Saccharomyces cerevisiae S288C: one gene and its partners. The gene in region 3 interacts genetically with the main gene of each other region. Each region holds a gene or a part of one and is shown on either strand. Other genes may lie near its edges.

Region 1 (4,570 bases), on a different chromosome or scaffold from region 3:
GTGATAACTCCTGATATTTGTCTCGAAAGAAAATCGATTTCTGACTTAATTGGGTCATTACAGAATAACAGATTAGCCAACCAATGTAAAAAAATGTTAAAATACTATGCATATCCGACACTATTGATTGAGTTTGATGAAGGACAGTCGTTTTCTTTAGAACCTTTTAGTGAACGTAGAAATTATAAGAATAAAGACATATCAACTGTTCATCCTATATCAAGCAAGTTATCCCAGGATGAAATTCAGCTAAAACTAGCCAAATTAGTATTGCGGTTTCCCACTTTAAAGATTATATGGTCTTCCTCACCCCTGCAAACTGTAAATATAATCCTAGAGTTGAAATTAGGACGTGAGCAACCTGACCCTAGTAATGCAGTTATATTGGGAACGAATAAAGTTAGATCGGATTTTAATAGCACTGCAAAGGGCCTGAAGGATGGTGATAACGAGTCTAAATTCAAGAGACTGTTGAATGTTCCTGGAGTGTCAAAAATTGATTATTTCAATCTCCGCAAAAAGATCAAGAGCTTCAATAAGCTTCAAAAGCTTTCATGGAATGAGATTAATGAACTTATTAATGACGAAGATTTGACGGATAGAATATACTACTTCTTGAGAACAGAAAAAGAAGAACAAGAACAAGAGTCAACAGATGAAAATCTTGAATCTCCTGGTAAGACCACTGATGATAACGCTTTACATGATCATCATAATGATGTTCCTGAAGCACCTGTGTAAAATATTGTTTAATTTAACGAACCCTGTTAAAACATCAGTATAAAATGCGATTAACTATAGTGAAAATAACAATATTCATTTGGTGACTTCGACCGTATATGTTATAAGTTAGACATGCTCTTTGAATCTTTTACTTTGATATTTTATTCCGCATATATATTCTTTTTTTCGCGTTCATAGTTTATTCACTCAAATTTTTCATATCATCCGCAATTCATCTTCCACTTTTTAGCAGTAAAAATGACCAAATGAAGTTCATTTATTTTTGATTTTTTAACCGTATTTGGTGGAATCTGAGCGTGGCATTAGTGAATCATTTTAAGCCAAATTACCCGTGAGTTTTTCTTAGAAGCGCACAATCATATTCATTATTAATAAATGCTTCAAATTCATCCTCTTGAATAAGGTCCAGAAATAATTTTGTCTCTTTTCCATTACCTATGTGGGTAAAAATTTTCTTTTGCGACTAAGATTCAAGAGACCAAGTTTCTTTTCCACAACGATATATAATAAACCAAATGGTACAAAGTAGGAAACAACAAATAAGGAAAGCTTTTTCTTAAGTAGATTTGTATATTTATCCAAGAATGAACGATGTGTCTCGTAAACAGTAATTCCTTTTAAATTTTATATTTCTTCTATTTTCTGAACTTTTTTACTTAAGAAAAAATTTGGAAATCATTACCTGTAGGATGGCTTAGCTCTGATAATCAACCTACCAAAGTAGTTTGCAGTTATGTGCACTTTTCCCTTCATGTTAACATTATTCGGGCCGGTCTATTGTTAAATAATTAAGGGTCCATTTTAGGCACGGCGGATTCACAGAAAACCACGCAGTGCTCAACGTCATATACCACAAAATCCGTTTTCGTATTAAAAGTGAATGTGTCAGTAAAAGGCATTCTTTTTAGCGTTCATTATTTCCTTTAATATGATGTACCAATCTGTCCACTGCCTATGTAAACTTAAAAGGGAGGCATTTATGACTTGAGATTTGGTTAAATTACCAATATCTCAAGGGTAACAATATTTGCTATACTGGTCATCTAGAATAAAAATACTGCGTTGTAGTGCTGAGTGATAGAACTTTTAAATCATATTATGTTATATAACAAAGAGCAGGGAACAAGCGGCGCTAGTAGCTCTGGTCGTAGAACGAAATTCCACTTCGATCGTTTTGTACAAATGGTTCTGTTCATTGCCGCTAATCCCAATTATTGCTGTTCAGTAGCCAGTATCCCGAAATCTGGTGTCACGCCAGATTTAAAAAGAGCAGATATTCTTGAACAGAAGATCAAAAGCTTAAATAGTGCGCTGAGTCCAAAATTGAAGGAAGAAAGTCGTCTTGGTGGGCCTTTGCATAACCCCTCTATTCTACCAGCCCCATCTTTTTCATCACTACCAATATCATCCAATGGAAAGAAATCTTTAGCAGGATATAGACCTAAAAGTAGGAAGAAACAAACTATACTCCCCAACGGTCAACCAAAAGAGTGCGCCACTTGTGGTGACACCTGGACTTCTCAGTGGAGAAGTGGACCTAATGGAAATGTTGAGCTATGTAGTCGATGTGGCATAGCATATAGGAAAAAAATGGAGAAAAAAATACGATCGCAACAATCCTCCGATGATGGTACTAAAAATTTTATATTTAAAAATAAATAGTTAAGTAGTTTGTAAAGATGGTATATTCAGCGGATTCTTCCTCTATTTTTATGTTTTTTGAGATATTTCGAGCTTTCTATTTTTTTAAAATGCCTGAATTTCCATCTTCAAAAAAAACATAAAAAAGGTACTTTACCACCAAATAAATGATAACCACAATTTACTTTACTTATCCTCCACTATCAAGTATCTTCCTACCAGGAAAAATGAATTTCAAATGATTCGAAATTTACGGAGGCTCAATATAGAGATAGTGTGACGATGTTCATAAGGGCTTTACCGCTTAGCACGTATCTACAGTTTTCACTCAATAATATATTCTCTAGGAATGATTGCCAATAGATTGATATCCAAGAGAAGGTTCAATTAAGGAATTTCATTTCGTTCTAATCTTTTGTTGAAAATAAAAATTTTTACTTATATGTTAAAGCTTAAGATTCCACATAAGGTCGAAGACAATCGTCACTAATGTGTGGTTCTGCCTGCTCATCTCTAAAATATATTACTTTTTGTACAGACATCTAAATTGAGCTGGTGCTTATGCTATTCTTATGATTTATTTTCAAGTGGTTTATTGAACTTTATTCCATATCCAATGATCTGAATATTTCTACTTATGTATAATAATTGTATATTATAAAAGAATAACTATTTTAAAGCGTCGGTTAAAATCAAATGGGCAATAAATCTTCTCATCCTAATCGCATCTTTATAATCAAAATCCAATGGCGCATCTGCACTTCCATAGAGAGTATTCATACAAACATATATTCCACAGTCGTAGCCATTTGGTTGCTGCGGACAATCTAAATGAATCAAATCAAAGTCTTCTCCTATTGTATGCTTACTTTCCTCCATAACATATTTTTGCAAGTCAGTCAGTATAGCGAAACTCATAGCATTTGGACCATTCGATAATGAATCTACGTAACCTATAGTTTTCTTTTTTAAATCAATTATGCCCAACGCCCAGTGGGATTGGTTCAAATTTATTGGTGTAAAGATTTTATCAAGTTTATCAATTTGTGTCTTCTTTCTCTTCATCCACCTCCGGACGCCTTGATAACCCCTTTCTGATAAATTGGTATAGAAAAATGAATTAAACGCCACTGTATTAGGGGTAGATTTTTCAATGTATTTCATAAAAAACTCAATGATAGTGTCATTTAGCCATCTTCGTGGTGCCAAGGTCTTAAAATCACGTACTGTTATCTCTATATTATCTCTATTCATTAACTGAGTATTTTCTCTAGATGCCAAAGCTTTTTGTACTTGGTCATCGTCTTTTTCATTTAATTCAGGAACAAGTTTCTTCTTGGCCAATTGTTCTTTCTTTTTTTTAAGATCTTCTTGAATCTTCTTTCTTTCATTTAAAATTTCGTTATATCTTTTGAAGTCTTTCTCAAACTCTAATATAGATCTATCAAACTTCAACTTTTGATTTAAGTAATCCTTATGTTTCCTTTCCAAAGAAGATATCTTTTTTTCTTTAACAAATACTAAATCATCATCATTTTCATTTCTTGTCTGTAGTCTGTTCTTGTTGTTCTCAATTAAAATTGTTTTGATCTTTTCAGTTAAGTCGATTATAGACTTTTTTAAGCCAGTGTCTTTTTCCTTATCCATATCCATTAATTTTAACTGTCTTTCTCTTTCTTCTTTTAATATTTTTGGAACTTTATATTCTCCGTTGAATATTTGTCGTAAATATGTTACTTCCTCAGATTGTGCTCTCGACACCAGTTTAGTATTGTTAATGTTCTGTTTTGCAACTTTTTTCTTTCTAATAAAGGCTGTCCCATACTGTCGCCTGTCGTAGCTATTTTTCTGATCAGAAGTGTTATTTTCTGAGTTAGAACCAATAGCACTTGTTTTCCACTTATTCCAACCAAAAGGATCTCTCGAAAAAGTTATGCTATTGTCACTATCACAATTGCTTTTTTGAGAAGCCAAAGAGCTGATTGGTGAGGTTGAAGGTGTCCCCACACCTTCACTTTCGATTCTTCTCCTTTTATTTGGTAAGGCCCACGTCGACGTATCGAATTTGTGTTTTCTTGTATCCGAGGAATAATTTTCACGTAGACCATATGGTACGTCACTGCTCCTACTTCCAGAACTTCTGCTCTCAACGTCGCTGTTACCACTTGCTTCTACTTCAGAACCA
Region 2 (6,165 bases), on a different chromosome or scaffold from region 3:
ATAGTGCAAAATATGTAAAACTTCCAAAAGTTTACAAACAGATAGACAGCATGACGGCTGAAGCCATTCTTTCTTCAACGGCAGTGTTCTAGAGTTTTCATCTGCAAATATACCTAAATTTTTTCCATCATTTCTTGCAGTTAATACGTCAACAGTCACGATGACTACGGACAAACGTTTACTGTTCGGATATCAAGTATCGATATTAAGTACTCAATATTACAGGCATTATGATCTGGCCTAGTGAACAAATATAATCAGCAAATTTAGCGGAACCGATATCAAGAAGTTAAAAAATGTCTATGTGTTAACCAAGATCCACATACTTAGAATGTACCATAGTAGATGCTTATAAAAGAGCGCCATGTAGTTCCGCATTGTATCAGCTAATGAGGCAAAAAAACAAGAATGATCTTTTGTACAATTTTGAAATTTTCACCTAGCAATATAGTCCCAAACCAAGATGTTTTCTATAAAAGCCTTTAATCCGGAAGTGCAAAGTGGTTGAAGACTAGCCTGAAATCTAGAATCCTTGCATATTTTTTTAAGGTTTATTTTCCTCCCTCACTATGGAAAAATGTTACATCGATAATATTATAATAAGCTAGTCAGTTTGACCGCCTAGCTAGTACTAATTATTTGTGAAACTGGTAAGAGTGTTCATTTGCCCTTCATAAGTGAACTATAATTGGTTTAGGATGCGCCAATATCTGGATTGGACCACACTATAGAATATCAGAAAAGGCAAGATTTGTTTAACAAAAAGCATGACTAAGCTAGACCATTGAGAGCAACCTCGAAACTAAGGTGGAGCTGTGATCTTGAATATTCTACTCTGGTTATCGTTAATTTCGATTAGCCCAAGATAACTCTTTTGAATTTCAAGATTTTTCAAGCTGCCTCCTTAATGATTTTATGGATTGTAGGAGGAAAAACCTTAGCGTGGTATTTCTGGAACACGGATAAGGGAAGATGCTGATTTTGTGCCGTCTTGAATACCCCTTTGAGTATTGGACACTGTTTAGACGAACGAATAATTCGAAACTTATTGAGTGTTTTTGATAGGGGGATGTATGAATACTTCCATTTTTGGTTTTAAATAAGTACAAGAATTTCACTATGAAATGGTCAAGAATGTATTCGAGAGAAAAAACTTTTTTAGGGAGAAATAAGCAGCATGAGCTACAGAGATATCCATAACAATGAATAACATCATAATGTCTCTCAGCCAGAAAACACAGCTAGACAAATACTGACTTTGCGAATGCACCAGAAATGAACCATATGGGCTAGAATCCATTGTACCAAAAGTTGCCTGTTCTTTACGTTTACCAAAGAATATCGCACAGAAAACTGTCAAAATTCATTGCGTTGTGTGACTCTAACTGGAAGTTTACTATGCAAACAGGATGATTATTGTACATTTATTCGTAATTGCACCCAGGTCTTTTTTGCCTTTATTTCGGGTTTACAGGAAAACAAGTAAATTTTGACGTGATAAAAAAGTAGACTCGTTAAATCAGGATGAAGTACCGGTAATGGTTGCATTGACAAATAGTTGGCTCAATGATGCTAGTGGGTATTGATTTTGTTGAAAATATGGGTGTATCATTCGTGCCATAATAGAATTAGCAAGCAACCTATCATTCTACATTCTAAACGATAGTACTGTTTCCTTGCTTTTCTGAATTCTTTTCTGATGAACAAAATCCCTCCTTTCTTGGACAACATACTCTAAATTCGGTTATTGCAAGGTATCATTAATTTGCCACTAAATATATAAGTCGCAAAAAATGAACATGATTTTTTGCTACAGTTGTAATAAAGTCTTTTTTATCCAAAGCTTATGAAACCCAACGAATATAATGCATTGGACGTCCATCTTGAGCGCTATTTTGCTTTTCTGCCTGTCAGGAGCAAGAGCATCACCTGCAAAGACAGTTATTCGTAACAAGGTGCCCTTGCTTGTCACTAATGCCTGCACGAGGATTTTTCAAAAAGTTACTTGGGAGTATACCAGCAAGTCTAAGCGTTCATCACCAGTATGTTCTTACGAACCAGCGTTTCAATCAATGCTGTATTGTATCTATGAAACGTTGGATGAAAAAGGTTATTCGAATAAAACCTTAGAAAAAACATTTAGTACCATCAAAAAAAACTGTGCAAGTTATAGTGATGCTCTTCAGAACATGACTAATTCTGAGTTTTATGACGTTCTAAACAACGGAACGAGGCATATGACGCCCTATGTCAAAGGCAGTGCAAACCTAACATATCCAGTTGAAATGGATACACAGTTAAGAAAAGCCTACTATCATGCATTGCATGGTTTCTATGCTAACTTAGATGTCGGAAACATATATGGTGGCATTATATGTGCTTATTTTGTCGCTATCATGGCTTTTGCAGGCGTTCTTCATTGCATGAATTACACTCCCTTTAAAACTGTTCTATTGAAGCAAAAGCTTGTGGGATATGTAAGGGGATACCTCACTCTACCTACCATTGGAAGCAAACATGCGTCAGATTTCTCTTATTTTAGAATATTCACAGGATATTTACCTACAAGATTAGAGGGTATCATTATTCTTGGATATCTCGTGCTTCATACCGTTTTTTTGGCATACGGTTATGAATACGATCCTGAAAATATAATATTCAAGTCTCGTAGAGTTCAAGTTGCTCGATATGTGGCAGACAGAAGTGGTGTACTCGCATTCGCACACTTTCCATTAATAGTTCTTTTCGCGGGAAGAAACAACTTTCTCGAGTATATTTCTGGGGTTAAATATACTTCCTTCATTATGTTTCACAAATGGTTGGGAAGAATGATGTTTTTGGATGCTATGATTCATGGCTCTGCATATACTAGTTATACGGTAGCGAATAAAACTTGGGCAACAAGTAAAAACCGATTATATTGGCAATTCGGGGTGGCAGCACTTTGTTTAGCTGGCACAATGGTTTTCTTTTCCTTTGCAGTATTCAGGAAGTATTTTTATGAAGCCTTTCTTTTTCTTCATATCGTCCTTGGTGCAATGTTCTTTTATGCATGTTGGGAGCATGTTGTTAGTTTAAGTGGCATTGAGTGGATATACACTGCTATTGCGATTTGGATCGTTGACCGGATTATTAGAATTATCAAAGCTTCTTATTTTGGTTTCCCCAAAGCTTCCCTACAACTAATCGGGGATGATCTCATTCGTTTAACAGTTAAAAAACCGGCAAGGCCATGGAGGGCCAAACCTGGGCAATATGTTTTCGTTTCGTTTTTACATCCACTGTACTTCTGGCAGTCACATCCATTTACTGTTTTGGATTCAGTAAGCAAGAATGGTGAACTGGTTATTATCCTGAAAGAAAAAAAGGGAGTAACAAGACTTGTCAAAAAGTATGTGTGTCGCAATGGAGGTAAGACATCTATGAGACTAGCTATAGAAGGTCCATATGGTTCTTCATCTCCGGTCAATAATTACAATAATGTATTGTTACTCACTGGAGGTACCGGTTTGCCTGGACCTATTGCACATGCAATTAAACTTGGAAAGACGTCAGCGGCTGCTGGAAAACAATCTGTAAAATTAGTGATTGCAGTTAGAGGATTCGACGTACTCGAGGCTTATAAGCCGGAGTTGATGTGTTTAGAAAATCTGAATGTACAGCTTCACATCTACAACACAATGGAAGTCCCATCATTAACCCCTAGTGATAGTTTAGATATTTCTCAACAGGATGAGAAGGCTGATGAAAAAGGCACTGTTGTGGCAACTACTTTAGAAAAGTCTGCCAATCCACTTGGTTTTGATGGTGTTGTTTTCCATTGCGGGCGACCAAATGTTAAGGAACTTCTACATGAAGCGGCTGAATTGAGTGGCTCATTATCTGTGGTTTGCTGTGGACCTCCTATTTTTGTTGACAAAGTGAGGAATGAAACCGCAAAAATAGTTTTAGATAAGTCTGCAAAAGCCATTGAGTACTTTGAAGAGTATCAATGCTGGTGATCATTTTTTACTTAAAACTAGTCATTTCATTAATAATACCTATCCAAATTTTAGTATGTCGATGGAGAAAGCTGCCTATAACTTTATGGTAAGGAGGTAATTGAAGCAGAGTACAGCAGTCCTTTGATATTTTATCTAAATCTTAAATATCTCTTTTATGGAATTTGTGAAAGTCGTAGTGTGTCGCATGGTTTTTTTTCTTAAGAAGTTAGCTCTGTATAGTCCCTGTATTTAAAGAGTTAATATTTCGATAAACCTGCAATGAAACCCTTTCTTGGCAATTTGGCTATATTTAAAGTGTGAACAATGGTCACTGAATTTTTATACGGCCCTCAGGCAAATTTTATGAAACGTTAATTGCGTGTTTCAGTATTATACACAGATGCAAGGAAGATAAACAAAACTGCATAAGCTAACTTCCGTCCTGGAAAATTTACCACAAGCTTTATAATGGCTGTTATTTTATTTACCATACCATCCGTTCATATATCTTTTCAATTTTCTCTGTATTCCTGTTTTTGTACTGTGGAGTAATATCACACACCGAGTCTTCGATATAATCGACATAACTCATGCATATAGGATACTTAAAGATAGAGTTTGATTCAGAGTGCCGGATAAAAAGATGATTACCGTCGCTAAAACAATGTAATCGGGATAAGTGTATAATAGAGGCTACATTATCCAACATATGGTTCTATTAATATTTTCGCGACGCCAACGTTGTCGTCTTTTACAGCTTTTTCTTTTTTTTTTTTTACCTGGTTTATTCATTATTAGTTGTTAACTATCATCTTGTACTTAGAAATAGATATGTGATTAGCAAGTGCTGAAGAACAATGAGATTCTTAGCTATGACCTCGAAATACATTATTTTTGGTCCTTAGACAGCAAGACTTTAGATTCTCAAACAGCTCTAATGTGCCAGAGTCACACGTGTAAAAACTTGCTCTTAATTCAGTCAATAACGCTCGGTCTAAACGTTTGTAAAAGTTCGGTTGGAAGATAATAGATTCGATGCATGATATCTGAACCTAGTTCCTTTTCTCAAAATGCACCGAACCAACATTAGGTAGCGAAATATGGTTTCGCGTTAAGGTTAAGGTTTATAGGAATGACAAACGCGTAAATCCGCATATTTTTGTGCTGATGACAAAAGTTTAAAAAATGTTTCATTTCTTGGGTAGAGCGTTTTATTTATAGTATATATCAATAGCACATAAACCTATGTGGAACATAGCTTCATAAATCTTCCTTAAAAAGTATGCCATCAAACATGTATAGGACTAAAAATATAATCGCCCTAAAAAAGTTTCAACCTTATCTTATGTTTCTACTGGGGATTTAGTGGAAGATTTTAGTCGGTAGAAGGTCACTAATATTTTCTTTTAAAAAACCAGTTAAGCTTTCAATTTGCAAAAAAAAATGTTTTTATTATCTATTATTGTACTAAATTATCATTATTTATAAAACGAGAAGACAAATCTAAAAAGCTGATAAAGCAAAAAATTTTCTGGCAACTCTATCCCCTTCTTATCTACAGTGTGAAATAAAAGTGACCTTTAGACTCTCCTAGGTAATTGTTTATAACGAAAAAGACATTTACTCATATGTGATAACTTAACGTTTAAATGCAATTCATTTTGGTCAGCTGAATAGGCTTCACGCACAGCAATCTCATCTCGAGCTATTATAAACCCTCTCAATAGCCATTGGCATAAACTAACACCAAAGTACGCAAAACCCACGAATATTGCTGTACGATAATAATCGTTTCCATTCGTATCAGTTGAACGAAGTTCCAGACCGATTATGGGGGCAACTAAGGCAAAAGCCGCCATAAAAATCCAGGTACTACCAAAGGTACCAGGAAGCTTTTGAAGACCAACAATGCGTGTAACAATTGAAGCAATTGTTGGCCAAATTGTTCCCATAATAGAACCAACCAATAATCCAAAAGCTATCGCAGTGGCCAAATTTTTACAAGGTATCCACATGGCCCAACAAAGGATGGCCATGACAAGGTGCAATATCATGCCAACTGTTAGTGATCCATATTTATCAGCAATGTGACCCACAATTGGTCGTCCCAGCAGAGAGCCGACACTCACCATGCACGATACGTATGAGCCTTGCTTACTAGTATAACCTAAACTAACGGTAA
Region 3 (5,994 bases):
ATGTTGTCTTGCAGATTTTTTGCTTTTAGGTGAAGCTAGTGAATTTCTCACAATAGTAGAAAATTCGATTGCAGAGAACCATAAATGGTTCGGTAAACCACTACATTGCAGTTGAGTACGGCAGTCATCTAATAAGGTACGGTTGAGCCGTTCAGCGACTCCATGTGCTCGGGAATCCGCTGTGGTTGTATAGCATGGAGTTATACCATTTTTTTCAAGGAATTTATGGAGAGTTCTGTTAGTATACTCAGAACCACGGTCCATTTGTATAACCAAGACACTGGCCTGAAACTGGTTCTTAATAAAAGCTAGTATCGTAGTAAAAACATCGAGGATAGAGTCCTCGCGACGGTCGTGTAATGGATAAACCCAACGGAATTTTGTTGTCTCATCAGTAAATGAGATGAAATAGGATGGTGCACTTTTTGGTAGGTTGTGAACTGGACCAAATATGTCAGTATGTAGGTATTGAAAGGGTTCGTATGAATTTTGGTATTTTAGTCGTGAACCTTTGATATGTCTGTGTTTGGTGCTTTTGCCGATTAAACAATCAGGACATTGATAGTCAATAGCACTAGACCAGTCGACATCTGATTCGTTAAAATACGTGATGGTGTTATTTTTAAGTGAGTATCGAATTGTCTGTGCATTGGCATGCGCAAGCATTCGATGAATGAAAGGATAAGGATATTTGCGTGTACTTTCACTTGTATGGACATTATTGATGGTGGGTACGGAGATATTTGATGGAAGCAAGTACCTTTTAGATACCCAGTAAAAGTCTCCATATTGTACGATAGGTGCAAGTACAGTGCCGTCAGATCGTTCTAAGACGTTTTTGGTAAAGCATGCTGTGATATCTACTGCAGCCAATTCATTCAAACTGAGTAAGTCATAGGCTATGTTAGGAGTGTGCAATACCTTTATTGATGTTTTGGTGTTGTCCTGGAAGTGAAATTGTAGGTCACCAATAGCGTTAATTGGTATATTTCTTTTTTGAGCATCAACTACGTTTATGTCAGGATTAGATGATGCTGAGTGTATGTGATGAGCAGATCTTATAAGGGTTCGTGATGCTCCTGAATCGAGAAGGAGGTGTCCAGGGAGTTCATCATCAGAATGATTAGTGTGATTTACCGTAGATTCAGTAAGTTCCTGGCCTAAGGTGAAGGTCGTGCTTATTGTTCAATTGAATCGGTTCAGTAGTTGATTTACTGATGGAATCGTTGTCCGTGCTGGGAGAGTTATTAGATGTGGATACATTGTGAGCCCTGGCTGTTTTCGATTTCGAATTATTTGTTTTTTGAGGATTCCGAGCTATAACTTTGGGTTTGGTTGTATTCGTATAGCTGCGAGAATCATTCTTCTCATCACTCAGATTTCTCCTGTAATTAGGTTTGCTGTTTCTCGATCCCTGTTGTTCTTCATAAATAGCATGGATATCTAAGAACAGTTCAGCGACTGTCATATTTAGATGTCGATGACGTGTGTAGCGTAAAAATTTATATTCGCCAGATAGACCTCTCATAATTAATTGGCATGCGACCTTGTTATTGATATGAATGCCATTATTGTTCAGTCTGTCGATAATGTTTGTGACTTTTGTTTCAAATGCATCTGCAGGTGTACTGCCATTATATTGCAAATTTGCCAGGGTCACAATGTCGTTTGCCTCTTGGGTATCAGATTGCATTTTTTCAATACTTTTGGAAAGAATTTTCATGATATCCGTATAATCAACGGATAGGATGTCTTTGACCCAGGTAGGTAGGAATTGAGAGGGAGCAAATATTTGAAAAGTGTTATACAAGAAGGTGAGTTCATCATCAGTGATCTGACGTACGGGTTTTCCGTTTACTGTCGGAATAATACCACCGAGATTCGAGTTTTGTAAAAATTTGATGTATGTTTTAACCCAATTTGGAAAGTCATTAGGTGAGGTTAACATTGGTGGTGGTCTGACATATTTTTTAGTGGATGTCATATCAGAGTCCGCTGAGGATGAATCAGTAAATGTATTACCTGACTCAGGTGATGGAGTGCTCAGAGGCGTTCCAACTGATGATGGATACTGCGGAAACTGTGATTGTGGCCCAGGTGGAAAGTACATAGGCGACATTTGATAAGGTGTATACGGAATCATAGATGGGTGTCCGTAAAATGACCAACCAGATGGATTGGCTTGGTTTTGGGTCATCATGCACTGCTGTGGGTACGGCCCATTCTGTGGAGGTGGTACTGAAGCAGGTTGAGGAGAGGCATGATGGGGGTTCTCTGGAACAGCTGATGAAGCAGGTGTTGTTGTCTGTTGAGAGTTAGCCTTAGTGGAAGCCTTCTCACATTCTTCTGTTTTGGAAGCTGAAACGTCTAACGGATCTTGATTTGTGTGGACTTCCTTAGAAGTAACCGAAGCACAGGCGCTACCATGAGAAATATGTGAATGTTGAGATAATTGTTGGGATTCCATTGTTGATAAAGGCTATAATATTAGGTATACAGAATATACTAGAAGTTCTCCTCGAGGATATAGGAATCCTCAAAATGGAATCTATATTTCTACATACTAATATTACGATTATTCCTCATTCCGTTTTATATGTTTATATTCATTGATCCTATTACATTATCAATCCTTGCGTTTCAGCTTCCTCTAACTTCGATGACAGCTTCTCATAACTTATGTCATCATCTTAACACCGTATATGATAATATATTGATAATATAACTATTAGTTGATAGACGATAGTGGATTTTTATTCCAACAGCAACATGTTAAAACGAAAGCTGATGTTTGGAAGCCGTCTCGAGTAGGCTATACCGACATATTTTCCCAGGAATATAAAGGAATTGTTGTTGCGATAAAGTTTGTGATCTGTTCTGATGCTGAAGGAACCTTGTACCCGAGAGAGTATAACTCCCGTCTCCATGATGTAAAAAGACTTGGGAGAACAGGACTGTCATTCACAGATAAAAAGGAGGCGTATTTACTCGAATTTAAAAACCAGGACGTTGTAGATCATGTTCATAAGTTAATCTTGCCTTTTAACACATCTTGGCAATCTAACTAGATTCGTCCAATTGTATTTTTACTTCAATAATCTTACATAATAATAAAAATTTTTCTATTTGTCCAAAAAAAAAAAAAATAAATAAAATAAAAAAAGCTACCGTAATTCATGCGTACAGTAACTGGCTTCCTTACTATACCAAGTTTATTCTTTGATTGCGCTGCCAAAATAGCCTGTCAAAATTTGCGCGGATGTATTTTCGACGTCAACGGTGCCATTATTTTTCTGTCACTGACACCTGTACTCCTGAACGGGTATCGGCATTTAGAACGCTGCCTCCAAATGTCTGGTGAACGTTCGTGAATATTCAGAGTGTCGTTATTGCAATGGAATGGCTGCCTTTGTGACGGCGTCAGGATAAATTGTGAGTCACTGAAACATATTCGGCAAAGTAAAAAAACGGACGTAAAAGATTCTTTCTTTATTCTTTTCACGACAGTCTACAAGTAACTGAAATAGCATACATTTACCAAAAAAATCGAAAAAAATGTTTAATACTACACCAATTAATATCGACAAATGGTTGAAGGAGAACGAAGGCCTTTTGAAACCACCGGTGAATAATTATTGCTTACATAAAGGGGGATTCACTGTGATGATTGTCGGTGGGCCTAATGAAAGAACCGGTTATCACATCAATCCAACTCCCGAATGGTTCTATCAAAAAAAAGGATCTATGCTTTTAAAGGTTGTGGATGAGACAGACGCTGAACCAAAGTTCATTGATATCATCATCAATGAAGGCGATTCATATTTATTGCCAGGAAATGTTCCTCACAGTCCTGTTCGGTTTGCTGATACTGTGGGTATTGTTGTGGAACAAGATAGGCCTGGGGGAGAAAACGATAAGATAAGGTGGTACTGTTCTCATTGTCGCCAAGTGGTCCACGAGAGTGAACTGCAAATGTTAGACTTAGGTACCCAAGTGAAAGAAGCCATTTTAGATTTTGAAAATGATGTCGAAAAGAGGACATGTTTCCATTGCAAGACGTTAAACTACGCACGCCCTCAATCTAATTAAGTATTAGAAGAGTTGTTAGTTGTACTTTTATAGCTCTCTTGTTACGTAAGATTGCGGCACTAAGATGCGGTGCCAATTTTTTTTTTTTTTCTCTTGATCAAAGCAGCTAGCTGTTCATCAAGATATGTAACGTTTTTAAGCACTGAACTAACAAGGGGAGCCAGTGAACGACTATGTCTTCACAAGATGTTCTGATACATTCAGATGATCCGTGCCATCCAGCAAATCTCATTTGCACGCTATGCAAGCAGTTTTTTCATAATAATTGGTGCACCGGAACTGGAGGTGGGATTTCAATAAAAGATCCTAACACGAATTATTATTATCTCGCCCCATCTGGGGTGCAGAAGGAGAAGATGATACCTGAGGATTTGTTTGTCATGGACGCTCAGACATTAGAGTATTTGCGCTCTCCCAAGCTTTACAAGCCAAGCGCATGTACTCCATTGTTCTTAGCGTGCTACCAAAAGAAAAATGCAGGTGCTATAATACATACACACTCCCAAAATGCTGTGATATGCTCCTTGCTATTTGGCGATGAGTTCAGGATTGCTAACATCGAACAAATCAAAGCAATTCCAAGCGGAAAGGTGGACCCTGTGACCAAGAAACCCATGGCGCTATCGTTTTTTGATACGCTGAAGATTCCCATCATTGAAAACATGGCGCATGAGGACGAGTTGATCGATGACTTGCACAAGACTTTTAAAGATTATCCAGACACATGCGCCGTAATTGTGAGGAGACATGGCATTTTTGTTTGGGGTCCGACAATCGATAAGGCCAAAATTTTCAACGAAGCCATCGATTATTTGATGGAGCTGGCCATAAAGATGTACCAAATGGGGATTCCTCCCGACTGTGGCATTGGCGAAGAGAAGAAGCATCTGAAGATGGCCAGTCCGTGACGGGTTAATGCTTAAATTTATTGTATGATTTATATACTTCTATACATGGTATTATTATTATTATTATTATTATTATTATTATTATTATTATTATTATTACTATTATTGCAACTATATTATTTTGTCTTTGATTCGTACACTTTTTCCCATATTACATGCTCATTTTCGATTTTATTCTTGGTGTCCTTTAGCATTGGGACCTTCTTTTCGTCTATAGGAGCTAGACTGTCATCATTTTCTGCATCTATGAGGCCAACAAGAGCAATCTCGCTGCCTCGAAGTAACTGTGCCTTGCAGATGAATTCCTTGCTTATGCGGTTGAAAACATTGGTTATGAATAGATTAGTATTTTTGTCGAAGCCGTTTAGGCTTGCTATGAGGCATTCGCCGTCAACTTTGATTATAACAACTCTTTTATTTAAGTAGTCTTTCAAGGTGGCTGACATGGTGCACGATAGTGTGTTCTTCTTGTATGGTGTACTGTATGCAGCTTGCTGGTCCATCTTATAAGAACCACGTAAGATTAGTTTTTTTTTTTCCCTTTACGCCATGATAGTATTTTCAGGACTTAAAGGGAAAATCAACAAGAACAGAAAGAAGGAAAACAAGCAAAACAAGGATACTGCAGACGTGTAGAAACATTTAGTAAAATGGTCGCTAGAGGTAGAACAGACGAGATATCTACAGATGTTTCAGAGGCTAATTCTGAACACTCGTTGATGATTACAGAAACATCATCACCGTTCAGATCTATATTCTCCCACAGTGGGAAAGTAGCGAATGCAGGCGCTTTAGAGGAATCGGACAAGCAGATACTGGAATGGGCAGGTAAACTGGAATTGGAGAGTATGGAGCTGAGGGAAAACTCTGACAAGCTAATTAAAGTTTTAAATGAAAATTCTAAGACATTATGTAAATCGCTAAACAAGTTTAACCAGCTACTGGAACAAGATGCTGCTACGAACGGTTCGTACCAACACAGTGCATACCCTCAAGT

Evidence for each region.
Region 1: mutations in BNA1 (region 3) and ECM23 together harm fitness more than expected from each alone (negative genetic interaction), as found in Saccharomyces cerevisiae (one large-scale study listed by BioGRID).
Region 2: mutations in BNA1 (region 3) and FRE2 together harm fitness more than expected from each alone (negative genetic interaction), as found in Saccharomyces cerevisiae (one large-scale study listed by BioGRID).

What each region holds. Positions count from the first base shown.
Region 1 is NC_001148.4:509,259-513,828, forward strand, and holds ECM23 (Ecm23p), read left to right. Parts: upstream 1-1,842; coding exon 1,843-2,406; downstream 2,407-4,570. Other genes in the region: ssDNA endodeoxyribonuclease RAD1, read left to right, coding at 1-741; SUMO protease ULP1, read right to left, coding at 3,055-4,570. UniProt on the Saccharomyces cerevisiae protein: Involved in morphogenesis. May be involved in cell wall organization and biogenesis.
Region 2 is NC_001143.9:6,927-13,091, reverse strand, and holds FRE2 (ferric/cupric-chelate reductase), read left to right. Parts: upstream 1-1,865; coding exon 1,866-4,001; downstream 4,002-6,165. Other genes in the region: MCH2 (Mch2p), read right to left, coding at 5,564-6,165. UniProt on the Saccharomyces cerevisiae protein: Metalloreductase responsible for reducing extracellular iron and copper prior to import. Catalyzes the reductive uptake of Fe(3+)-salts and Fe(3+) bound to catecholate or hydroxamate siderophores.
Region 3 is NC_001142.9:469,233-475,226, reverse strand, and holds BNA1 (3-hydroxyanthranilate 3,4-dioxygenase), read left to right. Parts: upstream 1-3,555; coding exon 3,556-4,089; downstream 4,090-5,994. Other genes in the region: YJR026W (gag protein), read right to left, coding at 1,145-2,467; methylthioribulose 1-phosphate dehydratase MDE1, read left to right, coding at 4,263-4,997; U4/U6-U5 snRNP complex subunit LSM8, read right to left, coding at 5,114-5,443; REC107 (Rec107p), read left to right, coding at 5,648-5,963.